Callithrix jacchus: one gene and its partners. The protein of the gene in region 2 interacts with the protein of the main gene of each other region in a pairwise test. Links are inferred from orthologs where the notes say so. Each region holds a gene or a part of one and is shown on either strand. Other genes may lie near its edges.

The links.
Region 1: the proteins of SF3A3 (region 2) and TADA2A interact in binary tests that used the Homo sapiens proteins (3 or more experiments, as listed by UniProt). The two-hybrid records come from large-scale screens. The link is inferred for Callithrix jacchus from reciprocal best matches to the Homo sapiens genes SF3A3 and TADA2A.
Region 3: the proteins of SF3A3 (region 2) and ZNF212 interact in binary tests that used the Homo sapiens proteins (3 or more experiments, as listed by UniProt). The two-hybrid records come from large-scale screens. The link is inferred for Callithrix jacchus from reciprocal best matches to the Homo sapiens genes SF3A3 and ZNF212.

What each region holds. Positions count from the first base shown.
Region 1 is NC_133506.1:97,709,681-97,713,297, reverse strand, and holds part of TADA2A (transcriptional adapter 2-alpha), read right to left. Parts: intron 2,492-3,617; coding exon 2,381-2,491; intron 520-2,380; coding exon 448-519; intron 1-447. UniProt on the Homo sapiens protein: Component of the ATAC complex, a complex with histone acetyltransferase activity on histones H3 and H4. Required for the function of some acidic activation domains, which activate transcription from a distant site. Binds double-stranded DNA.
Region 2 is NC_133508.1:74,563,414-74,567,714, forward strand, and holds the start of SF3A3 (splicing factor 3A subunit 3), read right to left. Parts: upstream 2,824-4,301; 5' UTR 2,768-2,823; coding exon 2,672-2,767; intron 2,388-2,671; coding exon 2,340-2,387; intron 1,616-2,339; exon of another isoform or gene 94-1,615; coding exon 41-93; intron 1-40. UniProt on the Homo sapiens protein: Component of the 17S U2 SnRNP complex of the spliceosome, a large ribonucleoprotein complex that removes introns from transcribed pre-mRNAs.
Region 3 is NC_133512.1:98,505,924-98,510,262, forward strand, and holds the start of ZNF212 (zinc finger protein 212), read right to left. Parts: upstream 2,876-4,339; 5' UTR 2,873-2,875; coding exon 2,727-2,872; intron 1-2,726.

The DNA of each region.
Region 1 (3,617 bases), on a different chromosome or scaffold from region 2:
AGATGAAACGTTACTAGAAAGATTTAAAACATTCTGGAAAAGGAAAGCTTGTTTTTTTGTTTTTTTTTTGAGATGGAGTCTCACTCTGTTGCCAGGCTGGAGTGCAATGACAGGGGCTCAGCTCACTGCAACCTCCGCCTCCCAGGTTCAAACGATTCTCCTGCCTCAGCCTCATGAGTAGCTGAGATTACAGGTGCCTGCCACCGTGCCCAGCTAATTGTTGTATTTTTAGTAGAGATGGGAGTTTCACCATATTGGCCAGGCAGGTCTCAAACTCCTGACCTCGTGATCCGCCACCTCAGCCTCCCAGAGTGCTGGGATTACAGGCGTGAGCCACCACAACTGGCCAGAAAGTTTTTTTTTTTTAAATGCACAACTCAGGTACTTCTTCCGTGTGTTAGGAAGAGACTTCCCCTCAGGTACGGTAGGTAGCTGAAGCATACTTACTACAAAAATTGGTAATGCCTGCTGTCCTATATTCTTGGAGCCTCTTGATTTCCCTTCGGAGTTCAAACTCCACTGTTTTACCCAAAAAGAATGAAGGAAAAAAAATTAGAGAAACAAAAGAAACATCAGTGAGCACTTTTGCTATTGAGCATTTTCAGTAATTCTGCCTATTATAAAAGACTAGGCAAGTTCATTTGAAGAATCCTATTGTTGGTAACTTTTCATTAGAAATTTTACCCAAGAGCTGAGGAAAACCTACTCCAGCTGTCTTCCAGCTGCGGTCTCCAGAGGTAGCAGCAGTAACTGTCTTCTAGAAACCTTAGTGAAACGGCTGAATTCGTTTGTCTACAAAAGTAATACATATAATTTTTTTAACAACCAAATTTGCCTGCTCTATCTTCTGTTAAAAGTTCTACCCACATGACCAAGTTCTTTTATGAAATCTGTCTGATATTACTTGATGTGGCCCTGATACAAGGGAAGGACAAGAGCTCTGTGTGCAAGCCCCAGTAAATTTCTTTACAGCTTTTTCCCTATTAGAACATAAGAGCATTGTGTTTTCCATAAACCAAAGATTTTTGCCTCCTCTGAGCACACAGATCAGGTTGTACTCTTTGGGTTATTAAATAATAGAACATTCAAATTTGGCTGCTTAAAAGAATGAAGGAAGAGCCTGGACAATCCATGGAGTGTAGTTATTTGGATTGACACATAAACCAGGGGTGTGTCCCAAACTGGGACAGGAAGTAAAGGATCAGTCACCTGGTACAAGTCACACAAAGAATGCCAACCAACCAAGGTGATTGATGAGGACAACCAACCTGGCTCAGATAAATGTCTGCAATGCTACGTAAGAAATATTTTATGATGAGAATAAGGGCCTTGGTAGAGTACCAGTACATTCTCAGAACTAAACTTAGGGGCAACATGAACAAATGCCATGATGAAAGGTACAGAATAAGCCAGAGTCTATATTAAGAGTCTAGGCCTTACTGCCATAACAACATTTTTTTTTGTTTTTAAACAGGCTCTCGCTCTGTTGCCCAGGCTGGAGTGCAGTGGCGTGATCTCTGCTCACTGCAACCTCCGCTGCCCGGGTTCAAGGGATTCTCCCACCTCGGCCTCCAGAGTAGCTGACACTACAGGTATGCACCACCATGCCAGCTAACTTTGGTATTTTTATAGAGATGGAGTTTTACTGTGTTGCCCAGACTGGTCTCTAACTCCCAGGCTCAAGTGATCCTCCTACCTCAACCTCCCAAAGTGCTGGGATTACAGGTATGAGCCACCACACCCAGCCTTATAACTTTTAATTTTCTTTGTTCGTTTTTTTTCTTTATTTAGTTTTTTATTTTAACAACTTTTAATTTTTTATGGTGAAAAATCAAATGGTAACTGGGTAGTGCTCTCACAGAAATACCACAGAAAGACAAGAGAACGATGGAAGTACTATCTCCACAAGCTATCCATCTCTGTCCTCATTTTTAAAACTACTTTTAGTACTAAGATATTTGTAAACAAAATAAAACGTCTGGGATTTGCTTCAGAATATCCAGTTGAGGGCAGGAGGGAAGGCAGTGGGTGATAAAGATGCAACCAGACTGGCCATGTGTTGAAAACTACTGAAGCTGGATGATGGATACACAGGAATTCATCATATGATTATCTCTACTTTTATATATATTTGAAAATACCCATGATAAAAAGTGGGGAGAAAAACTACTAAATTATTATTTATCTGGGGCGGTGGGGAAAGCCATGAGGGCTTTTTAACCTCTCTTCGCGACTCCCACAGTCCCAAATTTGTCTCATTGTAATAATGGGGAACAAAGACAGAAATATCCATTTATTTACAGAACTTCACATAAAACATCATTCTCTCTCTTACTTATATAAATACACAAATACTGCTCAAGGCTCAAAAACCACCTACATGCATGGCTTTCAATAAATTTGTCATGTTCCACTGGCCCCACAATTCTTGCAAATCGCCTCATTGTTTCATAAAGGTCCTGGACTTCCTTGGGATACCGCCGTTCCATTACTAAAGAGAAAAAAAAAGACATAAATGTGTCATGGGAAATGAAAGGTGACTAACTTACCCATGACAGGAAGCAAACAGGAAAGCCAAGAATACAAAACACTAAAATCATAATGATAATAGCATCACAGCAACTATCCCACAGGGATGTTATCACTGGAGATCATCTCCACCACTGAGCACTACCGATCTCCCATACCACACTTTTTTTTTTTGAGATGAAGTCTCATTCTGTCACCCAGGCGGGAGTGCAGTGGCATGATCTCAGCTCACTGCAACCTCTAATCTCCTGGGTTGAAGCAATTCTCCTGCCCCAGTCTCCCAAGTAGCTGGGCTTCCAGGTGCCCGCCACCACACCCAGCTAATTTTTACATTTTTAGTAGAGACGGGTTCACCACGTTGGCAAGGCTGGTCTCAAACTCTTGACCTCAGGTGATTCACCCGCCTTGGCCTCCCAAAGTGCTGGGATTACAGGCGTGAGCCACCATGCCTGGCCACCTCACTGTCTTTTAAACCACACAGGGGCAGGAAGTGCTGGCAGTAATGGACAAGAAAATTATAGGCAGAGCTTACATGCTTAGGAACAATTATGGCCAAAATTTATGGTATTAACTCCCACAGGAAAACAAGGAAACTATAGACACAAAATCCATCCAGAAGATTTGCCACTGCTGGGAAAAGTGTGATTTCTTGCATGTCCCACCTACACATCCTCAAGCAAGATACATATTTTTTCATTCTTCATATGGGTCATTTTGCCTTTCTCCAAACTGAATTAACTACTGTAACTTAATTTAGTCCTAATGAAGTTATATTTAACAACTGTCATGCAAATATCTTGCAGGGATGCCAGGGCTGCAACTCTGGGGATCACTACTGACGAAACAGCTAATCAAAAGACGTATCTGCAAAGAAGATGGAGAGTAAAACTGACAATAACTGGTAGACTGAGGCAGTCAGGAACTCTACAACCACTACTTGGGTCACTTCAATCTGACAATCAGTAATTAGGTTAGTTCTGTCTACTCTTAAAGATACAGGCTTTCATTTATGTCAGCTATTTTTTTTTTTCCTAGCTTACTTTTTTATTTTTTATTTCTGAGACAGTGTCTTGCTCTGTTGCCCAGGC
Region 2 (4,301 bases):
AGAAACACCAATTCTTAGATTAGCTGTGACTGTCACTTACCCATCCTTATCATCATACAAATCCCTCAGGTTCCCACTGACCTCCATATACCTCTGAAAGGCAAATACAAAACCATCAGAACGACACAATTTGCACAACTGTAGAGCTAAGCAAACAACAAGGGCTCTCCAGTCAAAGCCCAAGGGCAACCTCAAGAGACATGGATATGGTCTTAACAGTTCCTGTACTTCCTAGTACCTTTTAACACACAGCCCTGATTCCAGGTTAGTTTTTTAAATAGGTTGACTGGAAGATTACCAAAATGATATCATTTAAGAGGTGGCTCCTATCTTTACATACCACCAATGCCTAACTCTGTCTGTAACAGATTCATCCTCATTGGCTAAACACAGTTCCCACCTAAAATCCTCAAAGATAATGATATTCACCATTTCAAAAAGCTTGACTGAGGAGCAGGCAGGCTAAATAAACATTACATAGGCTTCCTTTGGAGTCAAAGTATATTAATTCAGGATGGTACAGGTATGTAGTCATGCCTCCAAAACTTTGGGGACCAGGTTTGTTTCAGAATTTGGAATTTTTTAAGTTCAGAAAAGGTATCATATATTATGTAACATCCCTAGTGGAATCTGAAGCACACAGTTCTGCAGTAAACCTTATGCCTTATCTACTAAGTGGGATAAATAAAAGACTATAAAAAGCCTATCCCAGGTTCAGGCCAGGTTTTACTACCAAGTGAGGTCAAGTCAGATTTTGACATCAAATAATCACCCAAGGGAAAAAAAATCCTTAGTTTTCAGAGTATTTTGGGGCTGAGGGCTTGTAATCTGATTCTCTCCTGTAAATCAGAAGATCCAAGTAGGTCTTTTATTCCTTTTTAAACAGGTTTCAAACATACGTTAAGAGTAAGGAAGGTAGCATAACTTCCATTTACTCATCACCCAATTTTTATAATTTATATAACATCTTTTTTTAAAGTAATAAATTGAGCAATTACAAGGCAAATGCAGTTTAGTAGTCCAAAAAACTTTAAAACAGTATCCTGACAGAAAAACACTAATATATGTTTTTTTTTTAAGAGAAGGATTGTAGCTGTGCACTTGTGTCATAGATTCCTCATAACTATTGTTTGCACATCCAAGGGATACGGGATGCTGTAAGAATGTGCACTTGGGCCAGGCGCGGTAGCTCACGCCTATAATCCCAGCACTTTGGGAGGGCGAGGTGGGTGAATCACTAGGTCAAGAGATCGAGACTATCCTGGTCAACATGAGAAACCCCGTCTCTACTAAAAATACAAAACTTAGCTGGGCATGGTGGCGCAGCCTGTAGTCCCAGCTACTCGGGAGGCTGAGGTAGGAGAATTGCTTGAACCCAGGAGGCGGAGGTTGCGGTGAGCCGAGATCACGCCATTGCACTCCAGCCTGGGTAATAACAGTGAAACTCCGTCTCAAAAATATTAAAAAAAAAAAAAAAAAAAAAAAAAAAGAATGTGCACTTGTAGGCAGGGCGCGGTGGCTCATGTCTGTAATCCCAGTACTTTGGGAGGCTGGGGTGGGTGGATCACGAGGTCAGGAGTTCGACATCATCCTGGTCAACATGGTGAAACCCATCCTACAAAAACACAAAAAATTAGCCAGGTGTAGCGGCAGCCGCCTGTAATCCCCCTATTCGGTAGGCTGAGACAGGAGAATCGCTTGAACCCGGAAAGTGGAGGTTGCAGTGAGCCCAGATCACGCCACCGCACTCCAGTCTGGGCAACAAGAGCAAAACTCGGTCTCAAAAAAGAAAAGAAAAGAGCCGGGCGCCGTGGCTCACGCCTTTAATACCAGCACTTTAGGAGGCCGAGGCGGGTGGATCACGAGGTCAAGAGATCGAGACCATCCTGGTCAACAAGGTGAAACCCCGTCTCTACTAAAAATACAAAAATTAGCTGGGGATGGTGGCGCGCACCCGTAGTCCCAGCTACTCGGGAGGCTGAGGCAGGAGAATTGCTTGAACCCAGGAGGCAGAAGTTGCGGTGAGCCGAGATCGTGCCATTGCACTCCAGTATGGGTAACAACAGCGAGACTCCGTCTCAAAAAAAAAAAAAAAAAAAGAAAAGAAACTAAAAGAATGGGCATCTTCCCGAGTAATTAAGAATGCGTAAGAGTTCCCCATTCAGAGAAGTGAGGAAGCACCCTCACGTTCGGCAGCCGGTGGACTGCCCAGACAGAGAGCCCTCGACTGGCCAATCCGGTTACCTTTGGCCAGGGCTCATGCTGAGACAAGCACTTCACTTCCCCTCTCTTTTCCCGCCCTCGCCGACCCAAAAAGAGGCAGACAGCAGCGCACTCACATCTTGCATGGCCCGAGTGCGGTGATCAGAATTGATCTGGTCCCGGAGCTGAAAAAACAAACGGTGACACAAACGCCGTTAGTTTACGTTCCGGAGTAGAAAAGGCCGCCCGAGGGCGGAGCTCACCGGCTCAGGTTTTAGCAGCTGAGGCGGAAAGGCCTTTGGGGCACTGGACTCCGGGAGGAGGTTACCAAGACCGGAGCTCGGAGACGGAGCTCCGGAGGAGACGGGGGCGGAGCGTGGGGAGACTGAGGCCCAAAGCAAGCTCTCAGAGGTCAAACACGGGATAGAGGCCCAGCCTCACACGCAGCCCCTGACCAGACCCAACTTACCGTGGACTTCTTAGTGAGCATCTCTTTGGCCATGACGTCCATGAGCCGTTCTTTCTCCTCATGATAGCGCCGCTGTTGCTCCAGTATCGTCTCCATCTTCCCTTCGCCGCGGACTCTCAATACAGACCACCTACAAGGCGGAAACAACCCGTGCCGCCTTGCGCGCCTGAGTCCCCACGTTGCGCATCCGGCCGCACCAAAGTTCCTCCAGTGCCGGAAGTGTCCAGGGACTTAGGAAAACATGAGCACCACAAGGAGGACGAGTCTATGTTATCGAGATGGCAACAGTGCCACCTGCTGGTCGGAGGTGTGGTGGACGGACGCCAAGAGGTTTGCAGATTCCTCCAGGTGGCATAGGAAAATCCAAGAACTTGAGGTTCAGCGGCGGGCTTCCCGGGGCTTGCGGGTGCCGGCTGGGCGGACAGGTACCCTGTGTGGACTGTGCGAGCAGTTGGAGTCCGGATGGGAGCTGGGAAACCGGAATTTGAGGGCGCAGTTTTCAGCATGAATTATCAGAACGTTTGCTCCTTCTCTGGACCTCAGTGTCTTTCTCAGTGAAATGGGAATAGTGGGGTTTTGCTGGTGGGTTTTTTTTTTTTTTTGAAACGGAGTCTTGCTCTGTCGCCAAGTTGGAGTGCAGCGGCGCGATCTTGGTTCACTGCAACCTCTGCCTCCCGGGTTCAAGCACTTCTCCTGCCTCAGTCTCCCGAGTAGCTGGGACGATAGGCGTGCGCCACCACACCCAGCTAATTTTTTTTGTATTTTAGTAGAGACAGGGTTTCGCTATGTTGGCCAGGATGGTCTCGATCTCCTGACCTTGTGATCCAACCGCCTTGGCCTCCCAAAGTGCTGGGATTACAGGCCGGAGCCACCAATGGTGGTGTTTTAAAAGAAATTCTCAAGTGAGGCCGGGCGCGGTGGTTCACGCCTGTAATCTCAGCACTTTGGGAGGCCAAGGCCAGCGGCTCACTTGCGGTCTGGTCAACATGGTGGAACCCCGTCTCTACTAAAAAAAAAAAAAAAAATTAACCGGGCATGGTGGCAGGTGCCTGTAGTCCCACCTACTTGGTAGACTGAAGCGGGAGAATCGCTTGAACCCAGGAAGCAGAGGTTGCAGTGAGCTGAGATTGTACCACTGCACTCCAGCCTGTGTGACACAGCAAGACTCAGTCTCAAAAAAAAAAAGAAAGAAAGAAAAGAAAAAGAAATTGATGTGTAGAAGGAACCTATCGGTAGAGGATATGTTAAATAAAATACTGTGCATCCAATGAGGTCAGGAGATCAAGACCAGCCTGACTAACACAGTGAAACCACGTCTCTACTAAAAATACAAAAAAATTAGCCGGGCGTGGTGCGTGACTGTAGTCCCAGCTACTCGAGAGGCTGAAGCAGGAGAATCACTTGAACCTGGGAGGTGGAGGTTGCAGTGAGCCGAGATCGCGCCATTGTACTCCCAGCTGGATGACAGAGCGAGACTCTGTCAAAATATGAAATAAATAAAATAAAGTCTGTGCATCCAAGCAGTGGAAGACCTTATGTGAAATGCTATATGGCCTTTAAAAAAAAAAAAAGACTGTGTCTATTTATCTCCACTTGTAGAGAAATGCAAAAAGTCCATGTATTTATATGT
Region 3 (4,339 bases), on a different chromosome or scaffold from region 2:
CACAGACTCCAGACTGTGTGTTTTCCCTCTGGAATTTTAATTAGATGACTATTAGACTTTCTCATTCATTCTTCCCTATCTCTTACCTTCTTTTCCATTTTTTGAACTCTGTGCTGCTTTCCGGATAATTTATTTACCTCCACCACCCAGTCGCCTATTTCTCTCTTTGCATGTCTGACATGCTAAGTAAAGCTTACTACTGACTTCTCAATGTTAATTATATTTTCCATTCTTAGATATTCTATTTGATTCTTTTTCAAATATGTTTGGTCATCTTTATAGTCTCTTGGCCTTTATTCACATTTTCCCTCCTTTTTTTAATCTTTAAATATACTAAACATGGTTATTTTATAATCTGTATCCAATAACTCTAATAACTGAAATGTTGAGAGTTGTCCATTACTTATTTTATTTTTACTGAGACAAGAGTCTTGCTCTGTCACCCAGGCTGGAGCATAGTGGCATGATCTTGGCTCACTGCAACATTTGCCTCCTGGGTTCATGAGATTCTCCTGCCTCAGCCTCCTGAGTAGCTGGGATTACAGGCGTGCACTACCACATCCAGCTAATTTTTCTATTTTTAGTAGAGAAGGGGTTTCACCATACTGACCAGGCTCATCTCCTGACCTCAAGTGATCCACTTGCCTAGGCCTCCCTACGTGCTGGAATTACAGGCATGAGCCACTGTGCCCGGCCAGCAATTTTTTATCATGAACTCACATTATCTATGAGAAGCCTGAGTTACTTGTAGATTCCTCCAGAAAAGATTCGTGTTTATTGTGGATACAGAGCTGAGGGCTCTACTTTAACCCTTGGCTTCAGGTTCCTTGAACCATCCAAGTAGCATGAATTCAGTAACAAACCGACATAAGGGTAACTATGAATTCTCAAGGGGCACCTCATAACCATCTCTCACTGCCAAGGTTTAACAGTTTTCTTTGCAATCATCTGAAGGTCAGACCTTAACTTTCAGTTCACCCTTATACAGACTGTTGCCCTTTCCAGTCTCTGCTTCATGGGATTGGGTTAGGGAGCTTCTTAGACTTTCCATCTTAGGCTCTAAAGATTTGTGTATTTTGTAGGTCCCTAGAGTCATAAACACCAAAGATGAATGTTCAGCAACTTTGGCCTCAAAGTTGGCTTCAGAACTCTATCACTTTCGAGTTCCCTCTTTCACTTAGTTTTGGGGTCCAAGTATTCTTTACTAACATACATTTCAAATGCATTTATTTGGGGGGTTTCCAGCATTTTTACTTGTTTTTTCAGGGCACCTACTCGGCCTGTCAAACGAGAGGCACAGAATCCTCACCTGAAGAGACGTCTGAGAATAGAAACAGGCTCAAGAACAATTTAAGTTCTACAATGACAAATTCACATTATTTAAGGCATAGCTGGGGATTGTGATGGACCTTTAAGGCTTCTTCCTAACAAGGTCTACTGATGACATGTAGGTAACTGTGGAGTGACCTGGTAGGAAGAACTGTGGCAGAGTCCTCTTGCCCGACTCTAACATGACCTAGACCTGTGGAAAAGCCAGGTCTTTGACTCGCTCAGCCTAGCTTACAGGAGGCAGATGAAGTAAATATTGTAAACACTTGCGTGTTGTCTTCCCAATTCAACTGTTAACTTCCTTGAAAACAAACACTGTGTTCTCTAAGTCTTCCAATCCTCTTTTTAGTTCTTTACCCACTTGCTACAAGAATCAAATACAGTGCATCCTGGTCATGGCAAAGTTTTCACCACAGACTCTCCTTTGCCCTCCATTCACACAAAGATCTAACACGATTCTTAAAGTGTTTCTAGACCAAGGAACACTTCACTAAAAATCAATTTAGTCCCAGCTGCCCTTTCCGCTGCAAACCCTCTGGTGTGATTAAATTAACCACTACTTTGGAATGGTATGAGAATGTCGGAGCTGGAACCACAGAGATCATCTAGCAACTACTCTAACACTCCCGATTTACAGTTAGGAAAACAAAACAGAGACCCAGAGGCAAACACAGTTGCCTAAAATCACCCAAATGGATAGCTGAGAGCTGAATTACGGCTGAACTCGCTTCGTGACTCCACAGCTAGGATTCTCCCCACGACAAGCTCCGTATCTTGACATTCCCAGAATAGAGAAGGTCGGGAGAAGAGGGAGTGAAGGAGACAGTTTGGACAGGTTTACAAACAAAATGCAGCAACTACACCGTAGGTAACACCCGTCCTCAAAGAGAGGAAGCCCAGGCTGACTTCAACCTGTGGCTTCAACTCCAGGACAGCAATCCGTGGCACCGGAGAAACGGGCAATACATCGGACCAACGAGGAGTGGGCGCAGAGAGGCAAGTCCAGGGGTCTCTGGGGCAGCTGAAGAGCTCACTCGTGGCGACGGAGACCGTTTCCAACCTGCGTCACCGCTCCAACCTGGGAAAGGGCTCTCTCTTGGCACGAAAGAGAAAATGTGTGGCCAGGGTCACAAATCCGACAACATAAAACAAGCTTCGAAGAAGTTTCTGGGGAAAGGCACACGGCGCTGAGGCTCCGACCCCTTCGCAAAAGGAAGCGGAGGGGAAAAAGGGGCAGAATACTGGGGTCGCGGGGAGGAGGGTCCGCGTTCACCGGCGCCAGCGACAGCCGGGGGAAACCAAAGCCCTGGCTGCGTCCAACCCGCGAAGCTCCGCCCCGGGCAGGGGGCTCCGCCTTCCCCAACGCGCCCTCGAGCCCGCGCGCCGGAGCCTCTTACCCGAGCAGGCGCCGACTCCGCCATGGCTCCAGTCGCCCCTCAACACCTGCACCCCGCCTCAGAGTCCCCGGGCTGCGTGCCAGTCCGCTCGGCGCCCCGGAGTCTGCTGGAAACCACCGCCGCCGCCGTGTTGATGCCAGGTGCATTCTGGGAGCGGCGCCCTCCCCAGTGCAAGACCGGCTCCAGCCTCTCTTCCTCACTACGCGGGCTTCCCATTGCGCCCCCGTGCGGCGGGAGGGAGAACCGCCGCTTGGCACGCCCGGCCGGAGTGCGACACCAAGAGGGCTCAGTCACTCAAAAGTCAAGACCGGGTTCCGCGTTTCAGGCAGAGCCACGGGACCCTGCTATCTTCTGTATGCCCAAGACTCTGCTAAATGCTTCGAGGGCTTCAAAAATGTGTAAAATCTAGACTTTTTGCTGAGGAAAGAACATGTAATGTTGTTGGGGAAAAGAAATATGATTCCAAAGGGCAAGTGATTTTATTCCAGAAGTTCACCTGTTATTTGGCTTTTTAGAAACTGGGAGCAGTTTCCATACCAACAATGTGGGGTCAGGCCAACCCTCTGTAGCCTGTTGATTATGGTAATCACGTGCCTTGGAAAGTCCAAGATAACCCTGATTTCAAATATTTCCAGTCCTCACGCTACCTGTAAGACGACGTGTTGGGAATTTTTGTTGGAAACACGGCCACATTACCATTTAATCGTCATGTACTTAGCCACAGCAACCATTCCTGCCTAACTGATACCATTGTCTTTCTGGAGACAAGCAATGAACTTCCACTTCACAAGGTGTGTGAGTGGAAGAGTTCCTTCCTCTGAGAACAAACTCTTAAGACCATGACTGGCTCGTTCCTCACATGCAGGGCTCAGTTCAGATTCTCCATCCTCACAGACGTCCCCAGCCCACCCTTCTGACAGCCCCACACCATCCTCCATCTCATACTCAGTCTCATTACCCTGCAGGAAACGTCATAGCATTTATCACCATCTGAAGTAATCTCATTTTTTCCACTCGTTTACATGTTAATATCTGTATCTCTTCCACTGAAACGTCTCTCTACTGTATCCTCTATTTATTGTACACAGAAGTGTTCATATTTGTAAATGATTGAATGGTGAATCGGAGAGTAAGGATATGAAATGTCATCTCAAAGAGAAGGCATGATTTCCAGGGCAACAAGATCGACAGGCACTTCACTGAATCATTAATAAATCTGGAGACAGAATGGGCCAGCCCGAAGAAACCAATCAGTCAGGGAGATCCTGTCCAGAGGGTCTGACCTACTCTCCAGAACAACAAACACTTGGTGTCAGATACAGAAAAAAAAATGTGTCGTGGGTGAGGTGGCTCATGCCTGTAATCCTAGCACTTTGGGAGGGCGAGGCAGGAGGATCACTGGAGTTTGAGACCAACCTGAGCAACGTAGCCAGCCCCTGTGTCTACAAAATTAAAATTAAAAATAAAACAAGCCAGGAGTAGTGGTGCACACCTGTAGTCTCAGCTACTCAAGAGGTTGAGGTGGAAGGATCGTTTGAACCCAGTAGTTCAAAGCTGCAGTGAGACATGATAGCACCATTGCACTCCAGTCTAGACAACAGACTAAGACCTGT